Tribolium castaneum: one gene and its partner. The protein of the gene in region 1 binds, or shares a complex with, the protein of each later gene. Links are inferred from orthologs where the notes say so. Each region holds a gene or a part of one and is shown on either strand. Other genes may lie near its edges.

Region 1 (8,035 bases):
GTTAAAATGTCTCAGAAACATGCGCTGGCAATTCGGCAGTATTTTACCGCCAGATGTTAAATCGAATTTAAGTCAATCGGAAATTGAATGGTTTTCGAAATATTCCAGCAATTTAGTACAATATATGCGATCAATTGGTGATGAAGGGATTAATTTAGCTGTGGATTTAAAACCGCCAAAGTCTTTGTATATTGAGGTCAGGTGTCTAACGGATTATGGACAGTTTGAATTGAACGATGGTTCGGTGTTGTTATTGAAGGAAAACAGTCGTCATTACTTACCGAGAAGCGAATGCGAGGAATTAATACGACAAGGGGTCCTTGAACACGTTGTTTGAATTTGGCGCCTTTTTTTTAAACATCAAATGTCCTTGAAAATATTTAAATTACCTTATTTTTGTACGTGGTGATTCAATACTAAATAATTAGTTGTAACATAATCTTAAATTAATCTTATTTCGTAAAATAAAAGCGTCCAGTGTCGCCAACTCTGATTAAATTCCATGTTTTAGTGTTTGTAAGTAAATTGATACCTGAGTTATACACGGTGATTCTGTTAGGGCCTACATTAGTAACTTTTAACTTGTAATATAGCTAGAGCTTTAAAATTTTGTACACGATCTAAATCGACTATTCTGAATTCAACTTATTTTTTTTCAAAATGGCTGAGCTTTCGGAACTACAAAAAATTGGCGCCAAGTTTGAAGTTAAATCACTACTTCGCAGTTTTCATAGTTAATCAAGTAGAACTTGCAAAATGGTCAACAATTGTCAAACTTATTTAATTTTTAGCTGGTTCATTATCAAATAAGCAGTAAAACAATAATATTTAATTATGTTTCATTATAATTTTGTGAATTATGTAAAGTAAGGCAGTTTTACGGTTGACAATACAGAAGATTTTAGAAGATCTTTCAAACCTTTGGCTATCAAATGCAAAAAGAATTATTCACTTATTATAAAGGGTTCACGAGCTGTGATATTTCAAATGAACCCCTGCAAATCAAAATTTATATAAAAAAAATTGACATATGATAATTTCTCGTAGTTCCGGAAAATCAGCCAGTTTAAAAATACTAATTTAGTTGAACTCAGAATGGTCGATTTGGATTGTATACAAAATCAGAAGTCGAAAAGTTTCTAATGTAGACCCTAAAAGCATTAGTGTGTATTGTTTATCCAGATCTACTAACTACCATGTCTCTACTAACCAGTAACCATGGTTGAACCCAAACAATAACATCCAATCAGAATCAAGCACACGCAACGCATGAACATGGTGGCAAATGTTGTAACCCTCAAAGTCAACAAATATGGCTATATCTATGAAGCCATGTCCACCTATAACAGCACCCTCTGTTGAGCAAGCTTCTAATTCTGAGTTTGATTCCCCCCACCACTTTTCTGTTTGGTACGGTTCTGCGTTGTACGTTTCTAATGAAGTATTTTTCTAAACAAATACGTGAAATACGTTGCTGATAATGTATTTTTTTTAGGTCAATACTGTTCTGTTATGTATGTTTCTAGTTTTGTCCGATTCTGCTTGTGTATGTTTCTAGATTTGTCCGATTTTGCCTTCTGTTTCTAAGATGTATTAGCTGTTTCAAAACTATAAAAACGTCAAGATCGCATTTTCTCTCAAAATTCGCTATTATAAATTATTCATGCACTTCAAAAAAAAATAGCAGCTAATGCAATTTATACTTTTAATGAGAGATCTATGCATTAATAACTATTTTACAATTTTATGAAACTTATTTAAAAAAATAATTCGGTAAAGTGCGACGTTGGCGTTTTTATAGTTCTGAAACAGCTAATACAGTTTTGTCATTTTATTTTCTGTTGATGACAAATTCTAGACGTGAATTTTTCTAGATCTGGACGCGTTTTTACTTCCCAAATTAAATTTTCAGCGCGCCGTCCTGGTGATTTTGTCTGTTGTGTTGGCAACACTAACGCTGTCACAAATTTGACAGAAGTGATCCCTAACCCCACAAACGTTCCAAGCGGCTTCCCTAAATTCCGTTAGAATGTCTGCCGATTTTTACATACGTTACTACGTGGGCCACAAAGGTAAATTTGGGCATGAGTTTCTCGAGTTTGAGTTCCGTCCCGATGGTAAATTGCGTTACGCCAATAATTCCAACTACAAGAACGACACAATGATCCGTAAGGAGGTTTATGTGCATCAGTGCGTGATGGAGGAGCTCAAGAGGATTATTATCGATTCGGAGATAATGCAAGAAGACGATTCGTTGTGGCCGCCACCGGATAGAATCGGTCGTCAGGAGCTTGAGATTGTGATCAATGATGAACACATTTCGTTTACTACCTCGAAAACTGGGTCTTTGGTCGATGTGAGTCAGTCGAAGGATCCCGAAGGACTGCGCTGCTTTTATTATTTGGTGCAGGATTTAAAGTGTTTGGTGTTTTCTTTGATTGGAATGCATTTTAAGATTAAGCCAATATAAGCGTAATTTTTGTAAAGTAATGGTGAAAAATAAAAGTTTTGATAAAATTTATGGTTTTATTTAATTGGTTTCAAAGTTCGTAGTCGTCAGGGTGGTACAATTCGGAGAGGAGACGGTAGACGTAAGATGGTGCGTTGCCACCCCTAAAAAAAACAACATAGTAATAAAGGGTGAACCAATATTATCACTTTTGATTGTAATAAAATTTGACGACGAACCAACTTCCTTAAGAAGTTTTAAATAAAAAAACGGGTTTGACGTTTCGTTTATACATGGTGTAACGAAAAGATGGGGACAAAACGGAACCAGATATTCTCCAAGTCAAAGTAAAACGATTTAACCCAATTTACCTCTATACCAAGTGTCACCGTTTAAAAGTTAGAAGGCGCCAAAGTTAAAAAATTATTTTTGTTCTTTATTAGTAACTTCTAAATGAAATATCATTAAATTATTCCATTAAAAAGTTATTAAATAAAATCGAAAATAATTTTTGAAATTGGAGCCCTCTAACTTTTAAACGATGCAACTTGTAAAAATGTTGAAAAAATTCCTAAAGTCATTTTTAAAAAATCTGAAGCTACAAACTTATTGTGTTAACTTTTTTAGTTTTCGTTATTTTTTAATGTTTTTATGCTTCACACAAGGTAGTCGTTCTCTAACAAAACGATGAATAATTATTTTCAAATTTTCTATCAGACTTTAGCATTAAAATTCATCAAAAAAATCACAATGTGTAGATGTGCCAACACTGGGAATTATTTCCTAGGAAACCGTTTCAAAAATAATTTATTTTTATTATTCGGAAGTAAAGTTACCGTTGGGGGCGCCACTGAGCTAGGTCGAAAACAGTAACCATAAATGGCGGGAAAATGTTTATTCGGATATTTTGAGCGTTGTACGAATTTTGAGGCTTCATAATTATTACATTGCCAATGCGGAATGACTATTGTATCTTTGGTGGAAGATACGAATGTTGACAAATTAGAGATGACGAGAAAAACGCGAATAACGAATGACTGTTTGGTTCACTTTCTTTATTGGAAAATTATTACAAAGACATTGAAAAGCCTATCTTTTGGCATAATTTATCTTTAAGTGTATTAACAGTTGTTAATCTGAATTGTAGTTTTGTTGATTTATCGAAGTATTTCATGATTTTATCAATAGAAAAATTCTAACCTAAAATTCACAAAATTCACTAATTCATTGGTTTCTTGAGCCCAACTTTGTGTTCGCTGTGATCCATTACTTATAGTCTTTAATTATAACACTTTGATAATACTTTATAATGAAAATTTAAATCTTTTTCACTTTTTATTCACTTTCAAATTCCAACAATAAACACTTTATACCACGAAAAAACGCAGAACCAAAGTCAAAGCTAGTATTTACCACCACGTACTTTTAAAGTGATTCTCTCTAATGTAAGCAATTAACACTATACACGCAAAATTGTTAAACAATTTATTAGATGTCAATTAAATATGGAATTACGAAAATTTCGTTACTGTTTTCGGCATAGTTCAAAAGTCATCACCAGAGGGCGTCTAGTTAATTTTATTTCCGAATTGATCAAATTCTATTGCGATCATGACTGTTAGACAACGTTGCCACATATCATTTATCTAAAATCCGTTATTTATCAATAACTTTAATACAAAGAATTTTTTTACTATTTTTACCTTTGTATATAACCAGTTCTCTACCACACACCATTGAGTTGGTGCGTCAGTTTTTGAGCACGCTGTAGAGGTAAGTTGGGCTTAATCGCTCTATTTTGAGCTGAGGAATTTTTGGTTCTATGTTATCTCCATCTTTTCGTTACACCCTTTAGTTTTGTATCCACAAAATCAGTTTTTCGTTGCCTTTCGCTAAAATGGACCTAAAATATCACCAAATTATGTCCAAAACTTTTTCATTTCATTTCCTAAAATTTCGTAGTTTTTTTCTAAAAAAGTTTTTTTTTACTTTAAAAACGTACACTATTTTTTGGTACAATTTGGGAGAAAAAAATCTCATTTATTCTTCGACATTGTCAAAATACAGGGTGTATGAGGAATACGTGTGTTAAAATTAACAGGTAACAGAGGTCAACAAATAAAACATTTTTTTTTATTTGTAATTTTTCACTAAAGTTTCGACAATTTCAAGTAAAAATTTGAAAAAAAGCACATATCGGTACGTGTACCTGCCTATGGGTACAAAAATAAAAATGGGAAACTATTTTCGTTGTGACAGAATCGGACAATATGAACAATTTAAAACAACAATGAAAATTTTTGCTAAGAATACAAACTCATTATTAAACACTGACCGGCTCGTAAAAATAATAAATAAGAATTTTGCAAAATGTTATATAGAAAAGTTGTTTTATTTGATGAGTTTTATTACGTGGTAAAATTAACACACGTATTTATAATACACTCTGTATACATACTTCACTTGGTACTATGAAAATAAAATATTATGACAATGATTATTAAAAAAATATTATAACACGGTTTTTTCAAATGCAATGACCCTGTTTTTTCAATGGTAATCTAAAGAACATCAATTTTTATGCAGACTTTTATTAATATCTTCTATATCTATCTCTTTAGTTTTTGAAATAATCGCAAAAAACGAATTTTAGCTCATTATTTTGATTTTTAATCGAATAAACTTTCGAAAAATACGATCAAATTATGTCATTGATTAAAAGAAATGTTAGACTGAGTTACTTTACATAATTCACTAAGTTAGCATAAACCATAATTAAATATTATTGTTTTGTTGCTTATTCTGTAATAAACAAGCTAAAAACTAAATAAAATGTTGAAGTTTGATAATTGTTGACCATTTTGCAGGATCTACTTAAAAAATTACGAAGTAAAATCCGTTTTTTGTTTCAAAAACTGTATAAGAGGTATAGGACGTGTCAATAAAAAATCCCCATATAGGTTTATTCGTATATGAGACAATAAATGAACCTCTAAAAGGACCTATAAAATGAGCCGATTGAGATTATACCGCGTGTCCTATCGAAACTAATAAGTAATAAGAATTTTACAGCGCTGGGAAGTAGGGGTATGGAAAGAGGTTTTTGTACCATAACTTTGGAACCATTTGACCAAATATTACGAAACTTGGTAGACTTACTAAAGAAAACATGCCTTTTAATCTGGTAATTACGAAAACTGGATACATCCATCCCGTTTCCGGTTGCAGCATTTCCGGGTCACATTTTTTGTTTTTTAATTTTTTGCCCTTTTAACACTACTTTTTTATTGCCTAAATCGATAGAGTAATCAATTGTGAATAAAAAAGGTATAATCTTTTACATCGCTAAAATACACCATTTAATAGTTAATTTAAACAGAGGCTTGCACCTGACCAAAATCAAAAAAGTATGAATTTTGAGCAGGCGATATCCGTAGCAACAAAAGTGCATCTGCACTCAAGACCCTGTCAGGCACTTGCCAACTTTAACTCTGGATAATTTAGGACTCTAAATTGAAAATATTTAATAAAAGAGTTTAGTTTCAGTCCTTTAACATAACCTACAATAAATTTAAACTAATCTGATAGCATTTTTCATTGATTAATTCACCAAAAATTCACAAAAAAAATCATTAATCATTACCTGATTATTTGTTCCATTCGGTACGTGTATCACACCAAATTCCGAATAAAGACATTAAGATTCTTAAAAGTGCACAATTACTACGTGGGTGCATCTATTCGGTTGTCTTCCAGACACTAAATGAACCACACTCAGTTCACTACTAATTTGCATTATTTTGTAATAAAAACAGCGGTATTTTTGACTGAATTGTTTGCATTTTGTATTGTTTTCTTCTAAAAAATCTATTGGTAACATTGAATTATTGGCCTCCCTGCTAGCTTGTTATATAGAGCTGTTCCACCAAAGTTTCACCTGACTGTCATGCCGGCGATCGCCAGTCGGAAATTAATGACATTAAATATATACAATATTGACATTGAAATTCGATAGTGAAAGTTGCCAAATTAAGATTTCAAATTTCTTACCAACCGGACGACAAGAATCACAATCTTTAAAAGTCACCCGGTATTTTTTTTAAACTTGACGCCAATTTTGTGTAGTGTCGGAAGTTCAGGCATTTTGAAAATAATTTAGTTGAACTCAGAATGGTCGATTTGGACTGTATACAAAATTTTAAAGCTCTAGCTTTGTTAGAATTTAAAAAGTTTCTCATGTAGGCCTTAAAAAATCACTCTGTATAATTTTTTTGACTTACTGTAAAATGATAAATAAATAATAAAAAACAACAAAATATTGAAAAAAAAATACTTACTGATGTGATATAAAAAGCGTCACCAATTCTGGTGGAACGTAGTCAAAAATCGGATTATAAACAGTAATCTTATTCAAAAGCGGTCCAGTTGAATAGGGAATAACATTAGCAGGCGATGCACACATATTAAAGGTGTCTTTTTCATGTGAGCAGACATAGGTCGGAGTCAATTTATACATGTGAGAGAGAACCATAACAGGAACTGAGTAGTGTTTAGCCGCCAGAGCAATAGCATGAACTCCACTTGCGGCACGGAGACCTCCATCGGCCATAACACTGTGAGTGCCAATTATAACTTTATTGACACGTGACATCATTGCAAAAACTCCAGAATCAGGAATTACAGTCGTTTGGATGTTGCTGTTGGCAAGACTTGCTGCCATTTTATGACCCTGGAAAAGATAATTATGCAAAAACTACGAAGAGCTAAATACTAGGAGATAGAATCTACTACTACTAGAGATAGAAATCTTTTTTGTACCTAAAGACTTAGTGTTAAATTTAAATTAATTTAAATTCGTTTTTTTTGTTTTATTTTATTTTTCAAGTTGCACCGATTAAATACAATATGTTCAAAAATGGTTGTTCATCAAGTCACCTAAGAAATTTGAACGTAATGTGCCGCTTAATTTAAATTGTGAGTGCCGTCAAAATGACAGATTTGTCAAAATAATGCAGACTTCGAATCCCAAAACGAAAGAAAACACAACAACAAAAATCACAGAAATATAAAACACAAATCTAAACAAACCTTACTCTTGGAATAACTTTGCCGAAAAATGTAAAAAAGTGAGAGAAAAACTAATTCGAAGATTTGACAGAGAAACTACAATAGTGATTTAGAAAAAGCGGCACATTCAATGTCAGTTAAATTGATGAACAACCATTTTTGAACACATTGTACATACAGGGTGTATCAGAAATACGTGTGTTAATTTTACCACGTAATAAAACTCATCAAATACAACTACTTTTCTATACAACGTTTTGCAAAATTCTTATTTATAATTTACAATGTTTTCCTTCATTCTTTTGTGAAAACAAGCCGGTCAGTGTTTTTATAATTAGTTTGTATTCATAGCAACATTTTTATTGTTGTTTTAAATTGTTCAAATTGTCCTTTTGTATCACAACGAAAATAGTTCGTGTGTTTTATTTTTGTACCCATAGTCGGGTACACATTTCAGTATCTTATCTTTTTCCAAAGTTTAAATAAGTTTGCGATTTTTTTTTTAATTACAAATAGATA
Region 2 (7,114 bases), on another chromosome or scaffold:
ACGTCGAGTGAGTCATGTTTTTCGTCGAAATCACGCTAACGTTGGCGATTTTTCCCGCAGATGGCGCGGACCTGCTGGTGGTACTACTTTTCGAAGTTCACCGAATTTTTCGACACTCTATTTTTCATTTTGCGGAAGAAAAATAGCCACGTGTCTACTCTCCATGTCATCCACCACGGCTGCATGCCGTTTTCGGTCTGGATGGGGATGAAATTCGCGCCAGGTGAATACTTAATTTTTCCTGCTGTTCCAAATTTGACTGAAACGTTTAGGTGGCCACAGCACGTTCTTCGCCTTGCTCAACACATTCGTGCACATCATCATGTATTTCTACTACATGGTGGCGGCCATGGGGCCCCAGTACCAGAAATACATCTGGTGGAAGAAATACCTGACCACGTTCCAGATGGTGCAGTTTGTGGCGATTTTCACCCACCAGTTCCAGCTGCTCTTCACCGAGTGCAATTACCCGAAGAGCTTCATGATTTGGATCGCTTTGCACGGTGTCATGTTCTTATTCCTGTTCTCCGATTTTTACAAAGTTAGGTACACCAACAACAAGGCTGTGAAGAGCAATAGCGGCGCTTGCATGGTGAGTTAATTGATGGCATTCGGTTCTTTGTGAGTGATAAGTTGTTGCAGCCGGTCCTCGAGGATGAGAAGCAGCAAAACGGAACGGTTACGAAGTCCGACAGTAACGGCACTCTTAACAACACTTACATCAAAAGCGAGTATTCCGATTCGTACAAAGCTTGCTACTCGAACGGCAGCACAAACGGCTTTGTGAGCCAAACCGTAATAGAGCGCAACTCGAAGAAGATCAACTAGGTTTTAATTTCAGTGGGTACAAAAGGACTCGACTTTTGTTTAATTGTAGACTTATTTATTAGATAGTGTACGATTTGTTGTCAAAATTTCGTATCTCAGGGCGAAATAATTGGTTTCTTTTTACTTGATGTATTATATAAGTTTTTACGGCTGCAGGGACCATTTTCATTGCGTCAAGTCGCTTGATTTTTTCATTTCATCAGCCATTAGTGCCTGAATTTTTACCACGTTTCTTAGCTTTAGCTTATTGTTAAAGTTTTGCACTTTGAATCGTTGCCGGTTGTTCGTACTTAAGAATGTTTTATTACGTTTTCGTATAATTTATCGGATGTTTTTTATTCAGGGAGTTGCACTCTGCTGCGTAAATTCGGCGGCTCTCTACGTCTTTTCAGATAAGTAAGTGTAATGGAAGCTGTATCACTGTAATTAATGTCGTTTTATTATCATTGTATATAATACATACTACGCGTTTCTTTAGATTTAAAGTTGTATAGTATTTTTGTATATACTTATGAATCTTGAGAAATAAAGTGGAAACCTGCGTTTTGCAAACGGAGTTTCTCTCCCTCTCCTTTCCCCAATCCAAAAAAAATCGCTAAACACAACACGAGAATTGTTTAGAACACGAGCGAACACAGTGAGCACATAAAAATATAAACAACGTATTTAAATTTAAAAAAATATGAAAATAATAAGTTTTTTCCAGCTTCTATTAATAAAATGCTCATTTTACATATTAAATCTTATTATCAATACAATAATTTAATCAAAAGGACAAATAAAATGAATCGAAAGAATGAATTGAATGTTTACAGCAAAACTTTTATTCACACTGTTATTTACAGCACGCACAAAATAAAAAAATTAACATTGTATTCATTGTTTTGTTTCATTTTTCTCTAACTTTTGCCAAAACTATTGTTTTAATAATGTTCATGATCTATTTACAGAAACAGAATTAAACTTTAATCCAGGCGGGTGTCATTTTTATTAATAGGAATTGTAAAAAATGTTGTACGTATAATTTATGTAAATACAAAAATTTTATCCACTCAAAAACTAAACTTTTTTTAAGTGCATAAATTCGTCGTTATTCACATTGTACCATAAGTAATAAGTAATAAGTAATAATTTTAAATTTTCGTAAAAGCTTTAATTTTCAGAAGTATAATTTAAGTTCTGCAAGTATTTTAGAAATAATTCTTGATTTGTTTTTATCAACTTGCTAGTGAGAAACAAGGATTTGTAATAATCCATGCGAGTAAATTAATTGTCTACATCCATGAACAAAAAATTATAGTTTGAACCTCTTTCAAACATATATTATTTTTATTTTTTTTTCTATTAGTATTAGTATTCGAGTTATTAGCATAATAAATTAATATTCTTAGTACTATGCACTCGTATTTATTTTACTATTTTCTGACTTACACTTTTTTTTAATTAAATTATATTTTCTTCCAATAATTTCTCCAAAACGGACCTTTATAAATATTTTGAAAATGTGAAAAAGTACTTATTTTTGGCAACTACTGCACCGTCACCGTTTCTATTCGCAACTCAGGTCGTTAATTAAGCGTGTTCTTCATTTTTTGTACTAAGATTGAGGAAAATTTGCAAACTCTTATCGTCTTATTTTTTGTGCAAAAAAGTGAATACGTAAAGGATTCCATTTCACCGAACACAAAATCTCGAATATTAGCTCCTTTAATATCGATCGAAAGCAAATGCAGATATTTCCAGAATTCGATGACGCATTTATGAACTTTGCCGACCATCAACATACGTAAAACCCAAAATTAACTTTACCCGAATGGATTTCGAGAATTTCGCTAAATAGACATCGTAAAAACTTGCCGAATATTTTAGCACTTTTCGCCTGCTATTTGCCAAATTTTAACCACAGAATCAATTAGCAAATAGACGATTTTTTGCTTACGAAACCGAAAAAAACCAAGTAGTTCACATTTGTATTTTATTCGTAAATTATGTACAAAAATAAAAATTAGAATTCCATCAAGCGGTCCGAATCCGTGAGCACCTCTTGACTATGTTCCGAATTTTCGGGCACTAAGTGGTGACTGCCGATCAAGCAGCCCTTAATCTGACACCCCTTCTCGATCGTCACTCCATCCGAAACTATACAATTCTCCAACGCCACCCTGAAACACAATTGCCACACAGGCCACACAATGGAAACCCACTCACTTCTCCTTAATCGTCACATTATTCATAACAATGCAATTAAAAACCCTCGAAAAACTGCAAACTTCACTGTTAGCCCCAATAACCGAGTTCTTAAACGAGGTTTTCTCGTGCAGTTTGGCTCCCTCCCAAACAACACACTTATCGTCCACTTGGCTCGATTTAATCTCACTTTTGGGGTGTCTGAGGACGAGGCTTAGCCCATTTGTGATTTTGTCCCACCTTTCGCTGACCTGCAACGCACACTCTCAAGGGGGCTCACAACGGGCGAACTACCACGTACTTTGCTATTAACGGCCCAGTACGTCGCTAAAGTGTTGACTCGCACCCCGAACGAGTCTCGGGGGGCTATCAAGGCGTAGCACCGGATGCTATCACCGTGATACGTGGGTTTGGAGTCACCGATATGGTCGTTGTAGGACGAGGACTCCCTTATAATAATACTGAAAGGGTCCTCTTTCGCGTAATTAAAAATGTCCTCGCTGTCGCATTTACTGACTATTGACTTGCCCTCGGCCCCTTTCGGGGGCTTGGAGAGCTGTTTTTTGACAATGTGGGGCAAGAGCTCGCCCTTGATTGTTGTAAAGTTCGGCTGGCTGTTCAAATATTTGACCACCCAGTTTTTCAAAACGTACACGTGCGAGTCGACCAAATTGCTGTACATTTTAACATGAGTGTGTTTCTTGAGCAAAGAGCGCGGTAGCGATAATTCGCTCTCGAAATCGCTCGCGGACGCTAAAAACACCAAACGGTTTGTTTGCGCGTCAATCCCGACCAAATCGCGCTCCGGCTTGTGTTTGGACTTGGGGCCCGGGATTGTTAATTCGCCCCCGTGAGGGTGGAAGAACAAAGACGCGACCGAGGCATCGTGCATTCGGAACACGTCCAAAACGCCTTTTAGGCTAAAATCAGTGATAAAGTCGCACGAAATTACAAGAACGTCGGACTTTAGCCGGTCATGGAGGAGTCTGAGGGAGTCGGCGGTGCCTAAGTCCTCCTTCCCGCTAACGGGGAAGTAGTCGATTTTGATCTCAAGCTCGCTTTTGTCAAGCGTGGCCTGAATCTCGCTTTTGTGATTCTCTAACACGACAAGAATTACGTCTAAAAGTCTGGTAATTATGAGATTTCGAACGGCCAGCGCACGTACCTGTGAAACCGGACTGCTGCAGCTTGTACAAGGGGTACCAAACGAGGGGCTTCGTCCCCACGGGCAGCAGACACTTGGGCTTGCCGGAGGTGATCTCGGGCATGCGGGAGCCCCGGCCGGCCGCCAGGACCACGGCCTGGAACTCGGGCTGAAACATTCTTGCAAAAACACACAAAAATATGTCACAAAACTTTGCAACAAATGTGTGGTTATATCACACCAATGACAGAGGCACCAACATAACAAATTGTTACGCTAAATAAAAATAATTCATTTGAGCCCCTTATAAAACTTTAGCGCATTCCTCAAGACTGAATCGTGAACACGGTCGGAACTTAATACCCGGTGATATTAATTAAGCTCGCAATTACGCTCAAATTGTCTCAGTTTTTGCCACCACGTTGGTGTTACTGTCACACGTCAACTTTGCGCAAAAACTGTTTATTTTGGTCGGGTCGGTTTTTTTGTAAATTTTGGGGCCAACTTGTGTTGAAAACTTTTTTTGTGTGTAATTTAGTGTCTTGTGATGGGGCGCCGCAAGTCGAAGCGAAAACCGGCGCCGAAACGCAAAGCTGTGGAGCCCCTGGACCAGCAGTTCAACTGCCCTTTTTGCAACCACGAAAAATCGTGCGATGTTAAAATGTGATTGTTTTTATAAACCGTTGGGTTTTATGGGGTAATGTGTGTGTTTGTAGGGATAAGGGTCGAAATACGGCCAGGATAACGTGCCGAGTGTGTCTTGAAGACTTCCAAACTACTATCAATTTTTTATCAGAGCCTGTGGATGTGTACAACGATTGGATAGATGCATGTGAATCTGCTAACTGAGGTTTTTATGTAAATGTTTTATTAGGTACAAATAACACTTTTTTATTATATCAGTCTAGGAAAAAATGTATTGAACGAGTGGTTTTAAAAGTAAATAAGTCATATTTAAAAGTTTTTTATTCATCAGATCAATTAACAAGAAATCTTAGACACCTAAAGCGTTATCGTTATTTTATGAGAATAAATATAATTTGTAACAATTGAAACAACTATGAAAATGAATATTTTTGTTACACGTTAATCGAGTGGTCTAATTTTTTTTATTTGAAAGACCCAGTTCTTTTGAACAATTTGTAACATAAAAATTTTGTATCGGTCTCGGTTTTGGAGTGAAAAAATAATTCAAGTCGATGTGTCAAAATTTCAGGCGTTTGCCCATTTAATATTATGGGTGGTGGTAAAAAATGTCTTAAACGAGTGGCTATAAAAAGTAAACAAGTCGTATTTAAAAGTTTTTTATTTATCAGAGCAATTATTAACAAATCTTAGATACCTAAAGCTTTAAAATCGTTATTTTATGAGAATAAATAAATAATTTGTAACAATAGAAACACTCATGAAAATGAATTTGGGTTTAAAACAATATACCAGAAATAAAAGGTACCACAAAGTCCTTGACAGCACTAACAAATGTACAAAAGAATATACGACTAGCCCAAAGCAATAATTAAAGCAATCTAAATGCCGTTTTTATAAATAACTTTCAACTATCTTAGCACTACCTAGTTATACACTTATCCTATAGAAAAAATATCAATCTCTGAATATAGCCAATTTGTCCTATGATTAAAAAATTGTTGAATCTTCCAAGATACTCTTTTTCACCAATACAATACAGATTATAATAGTTCAAATCAGTAGAAAAATATTGTTTTTTATCTAGTTGGAATAATCCGTAAGGAAACCAAGAGCTACTCTAGCACATTTCGCAGAAACCTTGTCAACTTAAACTATGGCGAAGAATGATCCAGTCGGTAAATGAATCAAGGAACACTCAAAGAAAACCAGTTACACATCGCAGTGTATAGCAGCCTTAGCGTGGTGGTTTAGCACTCAAGCAGCATCTAGTAGCACATGAAGAGTTTAAAACAAGCGAGCTCTACGTTTTAGTTCGTTCCTGCGCCATTGGGGTAGTCGGTAGAAGTCGGTCCGCGAGACTTGGAAAATCGCCTCGAACTCGGCGTCCGACAGATGTCGCTACAAAAAATTCCAATCATCTGGTCACAAAATCGGAAAAAGTATTTTACCTCAAGATTGCATCTGTCGACATCAGAAGGCAGTCTGTAATTAGTGATCACAAGCAAGTGGTAAGGGTAGATTTTGGCCGGTTCGTTTATCAGCATCGTGTGGGCCATGTTTGGAAGGGACCGTCGCACTTGTGATGAGTACCCGCCCGGGTAGCGCCCCAGGGCCCCCATGTAAGTCGCCGACACGGGCATTTCGGAATTCTAGCACACAACACAGTTACGAACAAAAACCGAAAACTGCGCCACCACCAATACAACTAACCGGAAAAGCAACAAATTATGCACAGGGGGAGCCCCAAGACAAGCAGAACGCTTCCTTGACTCACCCCCAAAATTTCACCGGAAATATGAACAAAAAATTGTAACAGTTAATTTACTTTTTTTTGCATATCGTGCCTGAATATAAGATGACAAGACTAAATAAAATAGAGACAGAAAACACAAAAACTTAAACCACAGGCTACCACAGTCACTCAAAAATAATTACTTTTAAATTTTTTTAGTTGGTTGTAAGAAACTGTATTTAAACAATTTCGTGGTGAAAAGTTTGGTGAAAATGTGGCTATAAAACTGTTTTGTTGCTGGATGTAACCTCAACCAAAGATTATTTTACCTTGACCCCAAACTAACTAAAGGCAAATAATAAAAAACGAGAAAAAGTGTATTATCACAGAACAAAACGCTTGAAAATTAAGAAGCCGTTATTTGGAGCGTTACACAGAAAAGTTAGATAAAGCATTATTTACATACCAGAGCACGTCTTTCAACATCCGTGATGGATCCAGTGGAAACTGAAGAAAAAGCATTAACTTAACATTCTAGCTTATAAAATATGTATTGGAAAAACTAGCCTAGAATT

The links. Proteins that work in one complex are often made in the same cells at the same time.
Region 2: eIF2Bbeta (region 1) and eIF2Bgamma share a complex: the UniProt entries of both Homo sapiens proteins name them as parts of the translation initiation factor 2B (eIF2B) complex. The link is inferred for Tribolium castaneum from reciprocal best matches to the Homo sapiens genes EIF2B2 and EIF2B3.

Annotation. Positions count from the first base shown.
Region 1 is NC_087400.1:16,453,447-16,461,481, reverse strand, and holds the end of eIF2Bbeta (translation initiation factor eIF2B subunit beta), read right to left. Parts: intron 7,179-8,035; coding exon 6,787-7,178; intron 2,614-6,786; coding exon 2,541-2,613; 3' UTR 2,507-2,540; downstream 1-2,506. Other genes in the region: DNA replication complex GINS protein PSF1, read left to right, coding at 1-337; protein mago nashi, read left to right, coding at 2,030-2,470. UniProt on the Homo sapiens protein: Acts as a component of the translation initiation factor 2B (eIF2B) complex, which catalyzes the exchange of GDP for GTP on eukaryotic initiation factor 2 (eIF2) gamma subunit.
Region 2 is NC_087395.1:21,889,765-21,896,878, reverse strand, and holds eIF2Bgamma (translation initiation factor eIF2B subunit gamma), read right to left. Parts: upstream 4,477-7,114; 5' UTR 4,338-4,476; coding exon 4,181-4,337; intron 4,135-4,180; coding exon 3,317-4,134; intron 3,267-3,316; coding exon 3,037-3,266; intron 2,991-3,036; coding exon 2,834-2,990; 3' UTR 2,790-2,833; downstream 1-2,789. Other genes in the region: very long chain fatty acid elongase AAEL008004, read left to right, coding at 61-223, 273-592, 643-828; transcription elongation factor 1 homolog, read left to right, coding at 4,707-4,822, 4,876-5,008; Unc-115a (actin-binding LIM protein 3), read right to left, coding at 6,092-6,205, 6,256-6,456, 7,006-7,046. UniProt on the Homo sapiens protein: Acts as a component of the translation initiation factor 2B (eIF2B) complex, which catalyzes the exchange of GDP for GTP on the eukaryotic initiation factor 2 (eIF2) complex gamma subunit.